4 linked regions of the Danio rerio genome follow. The protein of the gene in region 4 purifies or fractionates together with the protein of the main gene of each other region. This does not show direct contact. Links are inferred from orthologs where the notes say so. Each region holds a gene or a part of one and is shown on either strand. Other genes may lie near its edges.

Region 1 (4,428 bases), on a different chromosome or scaffold from region 4:
AGCGTCTCCTTGCCGCACAGAATCCACTGTCCCAGGCCGATCGCCCACATCAGCTTTTCGCAGATGCTCCACCTCCTCCAAGCATGCCCACGCCTGTCATGACTGCCCTCGGAGCAGCCATGCCTATTCCAGGTTAGAGATGAGAAACATCTTAATGACATGTTGCAAATGTTTTTCACATTTCCAGGTTCAAAGTCGTCAGAGTTGGATAAATTTAGAGTGAAGTGAATGGGAGAGTACAACAAATATTTTTTATTCACAATCCTGTTTGCTGAAATAGTAAAAGAAAAACTTCACTATGGTGTTATCAAGACTTTCAAGAAAGAAAAGAAAATAATGTGAGACTGATAACGACAGACAGAAAATAGAACAACATCAAATTTACTGTCCTGCCCTATAGACGCTGCATTTCAAATGCCACACATAGGTGGTAATTTAATGCAAAGATGATGTAGCACATACATAAATACATAAAAATGTTAATAGTTTTTAAATAATCTATTAAAAATATATAAAAAGATTTAAGATAGGGCTGTATGATATTGGAAAAATGTAATGTAACCCACAGTTCCTACTGCACCTATTCCATTCTGAGCTGGGATCAAACTGGCGATTCTTTGTAATGGAAGCCGGTTGCTCTACCAGGGAGGCTAAAGACCATGGCCTCTAGCTTCTGTGTCTAGAATACCTTTTGAGGTCAGAGGAGTGACGTTTACCTGCGTAGCCCTTTGCTATCTGGCCTCCGTTACACTCACCCTCCTAAACCTCACTGCTCACTCCCATTCCAGACGAGCCCTCAAGTGTAACCCACCGGTTCCTCTGCACCCAACCCGGTCTGAGCTGTGACTGGCAATTTGTTGTATGGGAGTCGATTGCTCTAACAAGGAGGCTAAAGACCATGGCCTCTAGCGTTTGTCGTTAGAGCACCTTTTGAGGTTAGAGAAGTGAGGTTTACCTGCTTAGTACTTCGCTAGCTGGCCTCTGTTACACTCACCCCCCTAAGCCTCAGTCTCATCCTGGACGAGCCCCCAAGTGTAATCCACCAGTTCTACTGCACCCGACCTGGTCTGAGCTGGGATCGAAACGGTGATTCTTAGTATGGGAATTGGTTGCTTCAACAGGAAGTCTAAAGACCATGGCCTCTAGCGTCTTTCACTAGAGCACCTTTAGAAGACAGAGGAGGGAGAGGTTTACCTGCTTAGCACTTAGCTAGCTGGCCTCTGTTACAGTAACGTTGTGATATTTTGTTAAAATACAACTAGTAATCTACAAGCAAAGATCAATACTATAAGATGTAAATAAAATTGAATGGTTTTCTGATGAGTCTAACGGTATTTAAGTAGTAGTTGAATAATCAAATGTTAAATACTGTGTGTCTTTGTTTTATAAATAATCCTATAAAAAAGAAAGTTAGAAACAGTACAGTTTCTCAGGTCTGAATATATTTAATACCCTCAGTCACAGGCCTCAAAAACACACATAAGTCATAATTTATTATCCAGACTGTACATTGAGGGTCCTGCAATTTGACTATTGTATATGAGCACATTGCGATATCTATGCTGAAATGATATACAGCTTTAATTTAAGATGCTGATGATCGTTAAACGCGCCATAACAGTTCTTGTGAAAAGGGTCCATTGCACATCCCTACGTTATAAAAAACCTTTCTTTAATTTGGTTAAAGAGGTTTAAACTTTACTTTCACGTTCAAAGACATCAGCCAGGGTTCCTACACTTTTTGAAAGTACTTCGATTTTAGACATACGGATTTAAGGCTTGTAGAGTACTCAAAAACAAATCAGGTCCTTAATAGTGCTTGATTTAAATTTGAAATGAAGTTAGTTTAAGGTGTTATTGTAGCAATTGTACTGTCCTGCTGACAAAAACAGAACTAAAATGGAAAATTCTTTATATAAAAATATTACATTTACATCTTGTACAAAAACGATGACAAATAATGCACATTTCATGAAAGAGAGGAAACCCTGATCAATAAATGCTGGCATTTTAATTATCACTGAGAGAATTTCTGCAGGTCTTTAAAAGTCATTCACCCTTTTACAGTTTCTTAAATCAGAGCAGATAAAAATCATAAAACATGGGTGCAAACTTGTCACTTTTCAGTCACGTGACCAGTATTTTGACACAATGTGTTCTTTTAAAAAATAAATCTTTACTTGGTCATAAAGTCATAAATGTACCTTAATAAAAGCCCTAATAAAATAAGATTTGTTTTATGAAATGGGTCATGGTTATTTAAAACAAGTTAAATATCAAATCCTTTCTATTTAACTTGAGGTGTATTAAAATGTGTCATTTCACTTCAATATTTAATATTTATATTTTTTATTTTACATAAATATTTAATGTTTTCTACAAAAACTCTTAAAAAAAATACCCCCGTCACATTTTGATGAAATAAAACACAAACAGGTATTGACCTTATTCTTAGCCGACGAGCAGGCGCTGCCATTTGAATCTTTTTGGCACGAGACTTCCGGTCTCATTCACTTACATTCATTTTTAGACATTAAAAACTGCTCGTTTCGCTGTTTGATGTTGCAAACTGATATTTCTCTGTTATATTATTCTACTTGGTCTGTATAGTCATGCAAACATTTGTTTGTAGAGCAAGTAGTTTGACCATTTTCTGCCGTTTATTATTCCTAGTCATTTCTCCCATAGGCGACTGAAATGGAAGTTCTAAGACAATCGCGAAAACAGGCGCACTTCCGCAATTTAGAATGTCAATACAGTAGTAGAAAACATCAGTTATTTTAATTTAAAGTCTCTAGTCATAATTCTAACCTAGGATTAGGTGTAAAATAATGTCATAAGTCTGTAAAACTTTATAGCCTAAAAGAAAATAGAAATGTTTTTCTGGTGATTCAAGTTACCATACTGTTATTTTTTTTCTGCATCAACTCTTTGCATGTTAATCTTGCAGGAATGCCTCCTCCCGGTGCTTTCCCACCTGTTCCTCCTCCTGGCACAATGCCACCTGGGATGCCTCCCGGTATGCCCATGCCTCCAGCACCAGGTACTCCTGCGCCACAGGGCGGTGGAGGACCCCCACCGGGACACCCGCCCTTCCCTCCTGCTGGAATGCATCCGCCAGGAATGCCGCATATGCCGATGCCTCCAACGGGACCTCCAGGAATGGTGCCTCCCCCACCTGGCCCACCAGGATCTAACCAACCAAGAGCACCGCCTCCACCACAAATGCCTCCTCCACCCATGGGTGTCCCTCCCAGAGGACCCTTTGGACCCCCAATGGGTATGTATGTGTGTGTGTGTGAAGGAGACTGACTTGTTGTGTTAGTATGTATTGAAATCATGAAATAATATTAAATTATAAATTATAAATCATAGTATTATGAATATATCAGTATTTTATATGATCATTATCACAATATAATGATGGTTTATATATATATATATATATATATATATATATATATATATATATATATATATATATATATATATATAAAACGTGTATGTGTGTGTGTTTTTATTTATGCAATGATTTATACAAATCTTCATCTACTTTTAACAGGTCCACCAATGCATCCGGGTATGAGGGGTCCTCCTCCACCAATGCCGCCTCCAGGTTATGGTGCGGGACCACCCAGACCCCCACCCTTTGGTTTTCAGAGAGGGCCTCCCATGCCGCCTCGTCCTCCTGCACCCAGAGGTCCGATGAGAGCACCGGCACCTTCCTAAACCCCCATGTGAAGACCAAACTTTGTCTCGTTTTTATTTTACAGTCTGCGCTCTATTAGATGGATCTCTTGCTTCTTTGTACACAGATTTCTTAATTTTGGTCAATGTACCTTTTCGGAATTAGCAAGAATAAACAGTTTTATATAACATGGTGGTGGTATTTTAAGTGGACTTTTAAAAACTCTCTACTATCATCAAACATTAATATCGCTATAATATGAATACATAGAATCAGAAGGATAGGATTATAGTTCCTAGACATATCAGCCTAGAACAGGGATCACTAAACATGTTCCTGGAGGTCTGGTGTCCTGCAGATTTTAGCTTCAACCTTAATCAAACACACCTGATCAAGGTCTTACTAGGTATACTTGAAACACCCAGGCAGGTGAGTTGAGGCAAGTTGGAGCTAAACTCTGCAGGGCACTGGACCTCCAGGAACGAGATTAGTGACCCCTGCCCTAGAATATTGTAACTTTTAATTTTCTGTCGGTCTTAGCCAGGGGTGTACAATCTCAGTCCTGGAGGGCCGGTGTCCTGCTGAGTTTAGCTCCAACTTCCTTCAACACACCTGCCAGGCAGTTTTTAGTATTTATAATAAGAGCTCATTTAGCTGGTTCAGGTGTGTTTGATTAGGGTTGAAGCTAAACTCTCCAGGACAACGGCCCTCCAGGACCAATTTGGACACCCCTGGTGTTA
Region 2 (2,499 bases), on a different chromosome or scaffold from region 4:
GTTTTAGCGAACAACAAAGATACAGCAATATGAAAATCCCAGAAACAAACCGACATCCCACAACTAAACAAGCAAATTAACAGACGCCTAACTAGATCCAGCACTGGTACTTTCGCGCCTCCTTCCCCTGCTAGAAACTGATTGGCTCATTTAAGGTCAAACGGAAGTTCATTACAAGACGTCGGCAACAATGCGTTTTTTTTAAATATATAATTATACATTTTGTTTATTTATGTATGGAGTATATAACTTATAATATGCACAAACACACAACATTATTTTATTTAAAAATTAAAATATTGTTTCAAAATAAAAAAACAATAGATGCGCATTTATGTAATCTCTCTCTCTCACACACACACACACACGCACGCACGCGCGCACACACACACACACACACACACTTACTGATAACCAGAGAAATGTTAATTCATGTGTTTGTCAAGCATTGCATCAACTTTCATTTGTAAAATCAGTTGATTCATTTTTAAACTCCAGGACTTTGAATCTATTTTACCTGTACAATAAGTGCAAAAAGACACCAAACATTTATATTAAAAAAGGAGAATCAATGATTTATTAAAACAAACCCGATGAACAAATATCATTTTATTCAATATTAACAGAAAATTAATTGAAAAAGAAATTAGGTCTGCCAAAAGACTTCAGTTCAAGCAAAGAACAATGGTCAAACAGTCCTTTCCTTTTAAACAAGTATTACTTAAAGCAGTAAAGTGAAAATGAGATGGGTGCAAGACAGAACAAGAGTAAAAAAAAAAAAATCTATGTTGACTATTTTGGTGGGTCTGTGTTTATCCCGTACTTCTCTTTGAGAAGTTTCAGCTGCTCCTCCTTTTTCTTTGTGTCCATTTTTTGGAAAGCCTTGGGAAAAAAAGAAGTAAACATTAATATATAGCCTCATCACTACTTCCATTAACATAAAGTAGTGCATCATTTAAAAATGAAATGCAATTTTTGGTCACATCACACATTAAAGTGAATTTTATATAAAAACCATGGTGCACACAAGAGTCTTGCTGCTTGCAGACACCAATATTTTAACAATTTATAAAAATGTATCACTTTCTGGCCATCAGATATTAGGTGCATATATATATATATATATATATATATATATATATATATATATATATATATATATATATATAGCGATCGTGATTTTTGAAAGCATTAAATCGATTTTTAAATGTTTATTATTTCCATTTGTTGAGCCTTCCCGTTACTTTTGATAGAGCCCTTTGACCTGAAAGCCGCTTTGCTTGATGCCACACTTAACAAGTTGATTGATTCCAATGTTAGCATTTCAAAGCCAAAGTTAAACAAACTCACCCTGTTTGCATTATAATACAACACAACCAAGTATCTGTTGCAGACGTTGAACCCTGAAAGGTGATCACAGGCATTTTTGGCGTCAAAGATGTCTTCATATACAACATAGGCTGTGCCTCTGGTCTCTGGTGTGTTCCCGCTGAAGAAGAAAAATAACAACGGAACATTCAGTTACTCAACTTACAAACACAAATATATTAATGACACAATCACGGAGGTAAAGTTAGTTCTATATTTGCACATTTGTTCATTTTTGAACAATGACAACTTGTGACAGCCTATATTGTACTTTGAATATTCGGCCTGAAATAGCATGTAAATATAACTTTAAAACAACATTAGCTCTATTTAATGTTATACTTTGATAGTCATTTGATGCTAATATGTTTTCTCATTGGGGTAAGGTTTTATATTTGCACATTCTGACTTTTCCTTAATATTAGAATTTCAAAAAGTATTCTTTGCCAATTCTGAATAGGGAAGTCATTTTAGCGGCCAAAGACTAACAAAAGACAACATGGTTCACAGTCAATCAAATAGTGCTGACGTTGTTTTGAAGTCATACTTGCATGCTATTTCTGCCCAAATATTCAAAGTAGAGTGGTAAAAAATATAGAGACCATATCACAAGTTTTCACTGAATGATCGCGTGAATATCAAAACTAGAGCTGCGCGATATTTGGAAAAAAAAAACTGACATTGCAATATTTTTATTCACTGCTATATATATATATATACAATTTCAGCAGACGACTAGCTTGTAAAGATTAGGATGATTCTGCAGGGGAGTGTATCTGTATAAAGTATTATATTAAAATGACTAGCATAGTTAAATACAATGGACAAAAGATGCAAATAAACAAAGATTTATAATTTTATGGGCAGTCAAACAGTATTCAGTAATCAATCTATAATAATCATAATAATAATAATGATCATAATAATAATAGCATTGTGTCATTTAATTGCATACAAATGAATAATTAACCTTTAAGCTACAAACGTTTAATTTATTGTGCCCAAATGTTTAGGTTTGTTTGAAATTATTACAGTTAGGTCTTAAAATCACTGGCAAATAATAATGAATCCACTAGGCTTCGGATGACAACTATTTTCAAGTTATACCGCAGTTTGGAAAAGTCAAGGTTT
Region 3 (3,301 bases), about 70 Mb from region 4:
CATAACTAAAAACTTAATAAAAATACATTTTTAACTTGTATTTAATGTTTACATTGCAAATCCAATTATATTCACTTATTTGGTAAACAAAGCAAGTCTCTCATATAATATATCTACTAAAAGACAGAAAATATTCATTTACAAACTACTGTTCAGAAACCATATGAAATTAATATTACTATTATTATATCATAATGATATTAGTAAAATTTATTGAAATAAATATAATAATTGAATAAATATAAATTTACACACAAGTAAATAAATAGACTGAATAATGGGCTCAAAATCTGCAGATTTCTGCGCTCGCCTACTGATCGGTCAGTTCTTGTCACGTAACTTGCGGTGCGCTTGTGGCCTTAATTCAACAGGGTGCAACTGAAAGGCGCGAGCGTGTCACACCCATAGACTGTAAAATATATGGACGTAGTGTCCGTGACGTCACCAATTGGTTTCTGAAGAGCGCAAAAGAAGCCACAAGTAGGCGCGGCCAACCGTCGCCATTTTGTTCGTGCGTTATCGCACTCACGGCGGGATACCAAACAAGGGCAAAGAGGCGGAGAGTGAGTGGAGCTACAGACACCTGCTGGCATTTAGCTTGGACCTGGCTCAGACACTTTATTTACACACTGGGTTTTAAGCATGAATATTAATGTGATGATATTGATGATGTGATAATGTGATATATTGATTGATACTTGTGATGTGAACGCTGATGTGGTGAAGCCAAACATACATTTGCAGTTAAATACAGAAAGTCAAATCTGCAGGACACTGACTCTCCAGCACCGAGTTTGGGCAGCAGCCCTGCTTTAATGCAGTAATGCTAAAAGTCTTGAAGGCTTGCGTGTGAACTGACCTTCTGTTTGGCGGCGTGCTCGGCCACCATGTCGCTGAAGTCCTCCTTCTCCACCTGCTGCTCCCGGACGTGCTCCTCGTACTTCTGGGTCATGGCCATGGGGTCCAACTCCAGCTCCTCTGGGGCCAGAGCAACCTCCACACCCTGAGAGTCTCCGCCCAGCACAGACACGCCCACCTTACGACTTGTCACCGTCTGCACCAATCACAGCACAGAGAGGCACTTTTAACATTTCTGACATGCATTTTAAAAGAGAAGAGGCTATAATTAATAAAAAGCTGTATTATAATAATAAAAATAGATATTGATCTTATAAAACAGGGTTAACAAGCAAAAAAGTATACTGAATGACTTAAAATTGACATTTAAGACAAGATTTACAAGACATTTTACAAGATTTATAAGACAAACCGTATTTAGAAAAAGCAATACTTCAGTATTTCCACTCTGAATCATTTTTGAATGAATCATTTGAGTCAGAGTCTACGATTGACTAATAAATGACTTCATTCTGACTAAGACTTGATGCTTCTTTCTAAATCAAACATTCAGCCATTTTGAATGAATCATTTGAGTCAATGATCCATTCATAAAAATGATCCATTTATAAATAAATCAGCGGTTTTGAACAAATCATTTGAGTCAAGGTAATTAAAAACTGATTCATTGCTTCATTCTAAATAAATCTGTGATTCTGATTGAATCATTTGAGTCAGAGACAATGATCCATTGATAAAAATGTCATTTGAGCCAATACATTTATGAAAAGATTCAATTTAAATAAATCTGCCATTTTAAATGAATCATTTGAGTTAATGATCCATTCATATATTTGATTCACTGCTTCAAACTAAATACAGCAGCTGTTCTGAACAAATCAATTCGAGTCAATCTATTTATAAAAATGATTCATTGCTTCATTCTAAATAAATCAGTCCATTCTGAACAAATCATTAGTCAAAGATCCATTCCTAGAAAATGCTTTTTTTTTCCCTAAAATTCTCTATTCTAAACAGATCATTTGAGAACATCAACAATCCTTTAATAAAAATGCTTCATTTATAAATAAATCAGCTGTTCTGAATGAATAATTTGAGTCAATGATCCATTCATAAAAACTATTTATAGTTTCAGTCTAAATAAATCTGTAATTCTGAATGAATCATTTGAGTTAATGAACCATTCATAAATTTGATTCACTGCTTCAATCTAAATACAACAGCTGTTCTAAACAAATCAATTAAATCAGTCCATTTATAAAATGATTAATTTGATTCATCGCTTCAACCTAAATTAAACAACCATTGTAAATGAATCATTTGAATCATGTAAATGAATCATGAGTCAACCCATTCGAAAAAAAGATTAACTGATTCAAACTAAAGAAATCAGCCCATTCTGAACAAATCATTTGAGTTCATGATCCATTCATTAAAAAGATTCATTGCTTTAATTTAAATAAAACCGCCATTCTGAACGAATCATTTGAGTCCATGATACATTCATTAAAATGATTCATTGCTTCAATCTAAATAAAACCGCCATTCTGAACGAATCATTTGAGTCCATGATACATTCATTAGAATGATTCATTGCTTCAATCTAAATAAAACCGCCATTCTGAACGAATCATTTGAGTCCATGATACATTCATTAGAATGATTCATTGCTTTAATCTAAATAAAACCGCCATTCTGAATGAATCATTTGAATCAATCCAGTCATAAAAATGATTCATTGCTTCATTCTAAAAAAAATCAGCCATTCTAAATGAATCGTTTGATCCGAATCAATGATCAATTCATGAAATGATTTTACATAAATGAGCCGTTTGCAACAAATCATTTGAAATAATGACTGAGTGAATCGCTCATTAAGAACTGTAACTGACTGAAATTATCATAGTTATGCATGACAGGCTAAACCAGCACAAACGAAACACATTGCTAAATATTGAAATAAAAATGTTTTTAAAATCACACACTCCTAACAAACCCATCAAACGTCTAAAATGTCATTTGTCTCAAGTAAAGGCAGCATTTATTTCTGCATGTCAGTGCTGTAAACCGTATATAGCTGCACTTTTCTGATCTACAGCATCATATCCGCCAGCTGCTGCTCGTTTCCCTCTTCTGTGTCATTTTAAATGCAGATGAAGGCCATATGGATGCAGTGTGTGCGCGCGTGTGATGCTGTGAAGCGGATCTGATGCAGACGCTCTGCTATCTCATCAGCCATCCAGACATCTTAATTAGCCACTAAATCAGGGAGTACTCTGGGATGAGGCGGTTGCTGTCTGAAGGTGAAGTGATTTAATATCAGAAATACAAACCACCAGTGTACAGGTTTAAAGTATGAGTGAAATCCAAACTAACTATGTTGATTATGTTAGCTCACGTTGCTAGTTTTGTGGTGAACAGTTTATCTGTGCATGTCATTAAG
Region 4 (3,929 bases):
ACTAAACCGCGGGTGAAATCTCAGAGTGTGAGCAGGTCTATAGTCAATTCTAAAGTTAATTCAATTTCCAAGTCATGGTCAAGTCTACATTTCTCGTATGTATTACCTGACCGAGTGTACAGCTGAAGTCAGAATTATTAGCCCCCTGTGACAAATAAGACTTTCTCCAGGAGAAAAAATATTATAGGAAATACTGTGGCAAAACTCCTGAATCTGTTAAACATCATTTGGAAAATATTTTGTAATAAAGGGCTTATAATTGTGACTTCACTTATATGCTCACTGGTAATTATTTCTGTCACCTACTTCTACCGGTGATGGGTTTGACATACCTTAAGGTCAGATCTCTGTCGGACCACTTCCTTGAGGACGCCCATCAGAATATCTGTGGCTAACGTGCGCTCGTGGGCCTCGTCAAGAATAATGACACCGTATCGCTCCAGTAAGGGGTCGTTCATAGCCTCACGGAGTAACATACCGTCTGTCATATATCTGCAAACAAGACACACTTTTTATTAGTCTTTATATCAAGTAGCACTAAAACAACACCAAAAGAATAGGCATAGCAGAGCTAGAGAGAGAGAAGAGTACTTGAAATGTACAGTTTATTCAGATTTTGTTTTTTACTACTACCATTTACTGCGCCTACTATGTTTTTACATATACTGTGTTCGTGTTAATGTAAACTTTATGAACGCTTTGGCAATACATTGGTAACATTTCTCATCCATTTTTAATTTAAATTAGAGAGACAGACGGACAGATATTGAGTTGATAGCCATTATCTGCTTCTAGCTGTCGTGGCAAAAACAAACACAATTTACAAACATTTTATAAAAATATCTTCTTTATAATAAAAAAGTTTTATAACAATAAGACATCAACAGCAGTAAATAATACAGAAAATGGACCAAAATAGCTAATACAAGTCACGTGTGAGTAAACTCTCCTCACATTGGTCAGAGTTGCATGGTTTATTTTGCAGAGTCCCGCTCAGCTGTCATGCGTCCTTATTTTAATTTATGATGAGGAGCAATGAGACATAAGCGAAAGGCTGCACTTTCATTTTGAATGGTGACACCCACAGACATCAACAGATTTAAATCAGAGGTAAGACTTTTTCACACATAGCCTTTGGCTAGAATTATGCATTATAGGCTTTACATTATGAGAGAAATAACAGATAAACCAAGACCCATTTTCCTAACGAATAAACAGCTCTCGTTAATAGTTCAGCATGCTTTCATTTTCGTATTTGACATGAAATGCTTATTTACTGGTAAAAATAACATCCCGCCCTTATCATAATTCTTTATTTATAACCATATGTATGCCTATTACATATCCATAATACTCTGTGATATAGCCTGGTTTAGATTGTATTGCTTTCTCACTACAATCGATCTGCTTTAGAGTTCGTTTCAATCAAGCCAAGATCACCTCATTCAGGCGATCTCGGACCGATTGCTTTGGTGCGGATCAGAGCCCGATTGCTGGATTCACATATGCCAAACGAACCGCACGAACCGGGGAAACGCACCAGGTTCCGAAACAAAGGTCTAGGTGTGAAAGCGCCCTTAATGTATTTATAATTTGTATGTAAAAAAAACAAAAAAATAAACATACTTTGTATTACATATGCATAATATACACAACACACATACATCGTGTCAAAATAAACTTTTATATTGGATACAACTAAACTTAAAACAATTTTTTCAAGCACTCACATTTAAAAGTCTCTGTAAAGAGTCTTTCAAAAACTGCAGAATTATCATCAAAAGTAAATCTTAAACTGCTTTAGATCATCTTATTTTCTGTATTATTTATTGCTGTTGATGTCTTATTGTTATAAACCTTTTTTTAGTTATATTTTTCACTTTTGGGTGAACTATCCCTTTAATGACAGAGGATTTCTACAAGCTTAGCCCATTACCAAAAGCTACAACGGACCATTTTCCAGTTTCCAGATTAGTCAGCAGCAGAAGTCGTCATAGTTGGTAAACTTTTAGTGCAGTAAACGAGAGAGTGCAACAAATAATTGTTTTAAAATCCTATTTGCTAAAAAAAGAAAAGAAAAACTCCACAATGGTGTTATCACGACTTTCAGAAAAAGGAAAACGATAGTGTGAGACTGATAACTGTAGCCAGAAGAGAAAACAACATCCGATTTACTGTCCTGCCCCCATACGCGCTGCATTTCAACACCCTCGTACAAATAGTCATTTGTTTTTAGTAACTTTACGCAAAGATGATGTAATACAAACACAATTACAAATAAAAGTTAAAGCATTTTTATATCACAATATTAAAAACGTTCAAGTATTCAAGATGCTGATGACTATTACACGCGTCTTGTGAAAAGGGTGCATTGACTTCCACTTTATTGAAGGCTCATGACACACATCATTTGAGAGCAATGACTTACTTTAGTATGGTCTTTGCAGAGCTACAGTCCTCGAATCTGATGGAGTATCCGACCTCCTGACCCAGCATGACATCCATCTCATCTGCCACTCTCTGAGCCACACTCATGGCTGCCACCCTTCTGGGCTGAGTACAGGCCACGCCGCGCTTCGGGCCAGGCAGAGACCTGACCATGTCAACACACCACTGAGGGATCTGAAAAACAACAGTCCAAACATCCATTAAAAGCTCCTTATTGTGGTTTTATTAAGCCTTGTGTGCTGTTGGGGATGTTTTTAATCCAATCTGGGGGGATTTTGAGACTTAATTTGGCCACAACCTTCTCAGTGTTTCAGCAAATGGAATGATTTTTGGTAATTAATCTTATTTTGACATATTTTGGGAAAACACTTTGAAAATTTTCAAAAACTGAACTTTTAATATACTCTAGGCAAATTTACTACACTTTCATTATGTTGGTGGCTGTTTTTGACCCATTGATTTCCATTATAATGACGTTTTGTGATTGCAAAGTCATGACTAGGTGTATTCTTTATTCTTGGTGGTTTTCCCTGTTGGGAAGAGGTAAAATGTTTCATTTTTACTGTTGATCATCAATAGCAGTGCAAAAAAGATTAGTTTCTGGCTTTGGAGTTATATTTATTGTTTATGCGTGTATATGAGAGGGAGAGACCTTTGCGCACTTACTGTAATATGTCTGAGAAAATCTAAATAATCAGCTCAGCTCTCAGAACATAGTAACCATAGTAACCTAGTAAGTCTATTCATGGACACACACACACACACACACACACACACACTATAATCAGCCGTTTTACTCCATAAAATGCTATAAAAAAAGCCCAAAACTAGTTTGCACAGGCCTATCTAAAGTGTTAATGCTGTCAACTGATGACCAACAGTAAAAATTACAAATTTTATCTCATGATTGTGGAACTAAACAAATAAAAAGCATAAATAAATGCAATAAAGCAAAGATAAAAGTGAAATAAACAGCGTTTATGGTTATGTAAATGTAAAAATGACACTGCAAAGGTATATGGAAAATTCTATGCAGTCTAACCTGTGTGGTCTTTCCAGAGCCGGTCTCTCCTACGAGCACAAAGCTCTGATGGCGGTTCAGGATGTCATTAAAGCGCTCTTTATACTCCCAGACGGGCAACTGCAGCCTCTTCTTGAGGATCTCGTAGTAGCGTGGCGTGTGAGGCAGGTTGGTGAAGGGGTTGATCTGCTGATGCATGCTGGCCTGCTTCAGAGGAAGGATTCCGCTTCCAGACACGCTGGAGCTGAGCGCCGCACTCGACGACTTGCTGTCTCTCTCTCGGTCGCGATCGCGGTCTCGGTCTCTGTCACGATCGCGCTCACGGTCCCGGTCACGATCTCGATCCTTTGATCGCTCATCCCGATCTCTGTCACGGTCCTTCCTGATGGGGAAAAAATAATGCATCCCTTAAGCTTAATCATCAAATGCATTTGGTTTGATAATTTAAGTTTCCTCATGA

The links. Proteins that work in one complex are often made in the same cells at the same time.
Region 1: the proteins of dhx15 (region 4) and sf3b4 purify together in Homo sapiens (co-immunoprecipitation; 4 studies listed by BioGRID and IntAct, with this or other methods). This does not show direct contact. The link is inferred for Danio rerio from reciprocal best matches to the Homo sapiens genes DHX15 and SF3B4.
Region 2: the proteins of dhx15 (region 4) and sf3b6 fractionate together in Homo sapiens (co-fractionation; 3 studies listed by BioGRID and IntAct, with this or other methods). This does not show direct contact. The link is inferred for Danio rerio from reciprocal best matches to the Homo sapiens genes DHX15 and SF3B6.
Region 3: the proteins of dhx15 (region 4) and sf3b2 purify together in Homo sapiens (co-immunoprecipitation; 3 studies listed by BioGRID and IntAct, with this or other methods). This does not show direct contact. The link is inferred for Danio rerio from reciprocal best matches to the Homo sapiens genes DHX15 and SF3B2.

Annotation. Positions count from the first base shown.
Region 1 is NC_133194.1:8,482,803-8,487,230, forward strand, and holds the end of sf3b4 (splicing factor 3B subunit 4), read left to right. Parts: coding exon 1-132; intron 133-2,950; coding exon 2,951-3,280; intron 3,281-3,562; coding exon 3,563-3,729; 3' UTR 3,730-3,876; downstream 3,877-4,428. UniProt on the Homo sapiens protein: Component of the 17S U2 SnRNP complex of the spliceosome, a large ribonucleoprotein complex that removes introns from transcribed pre-mRNAs.
Region 2 is NC_133195.1:38,725,722-38,728,220, reverse strand, and holds the end of sf3b6 (splicing factor 3B subunit 6), read right to left. Parts: intron 1,490-2,499; coding exon 1,351-1,489; intron 883-1,350; coding exon 793-882; 3' UTR 553-792; downstream 1-552.
Region 3 is NC_133182.1:6,544,406-6,547,706, reverse strand, and holds part of sf3b2 (splicing factor 3B subunit 2), read right to left. Parts: intron 1,055-3,301; coding exon 860-1,054; intron 1-859. UniProt on the Homo sapiens protein: Component of the 17S U2 SnRNP complex of the spliceosome, a large ribonucleoprotein complex that removes introns from transcribed pre-mRNAs.
Region 4 is NC_133182.1:76,901,249-76,905,177, forward strand, and holds part of dhx15 (ATP-dependent RNA helicase DHX15), read right to left. Parts: intron 3,852-3,929; coding exon 3,491-3,851; intron 2,623-3,490; coding exon 2,429-2,622; intron 493-2,428; coding exon 333-492; intron 1-332.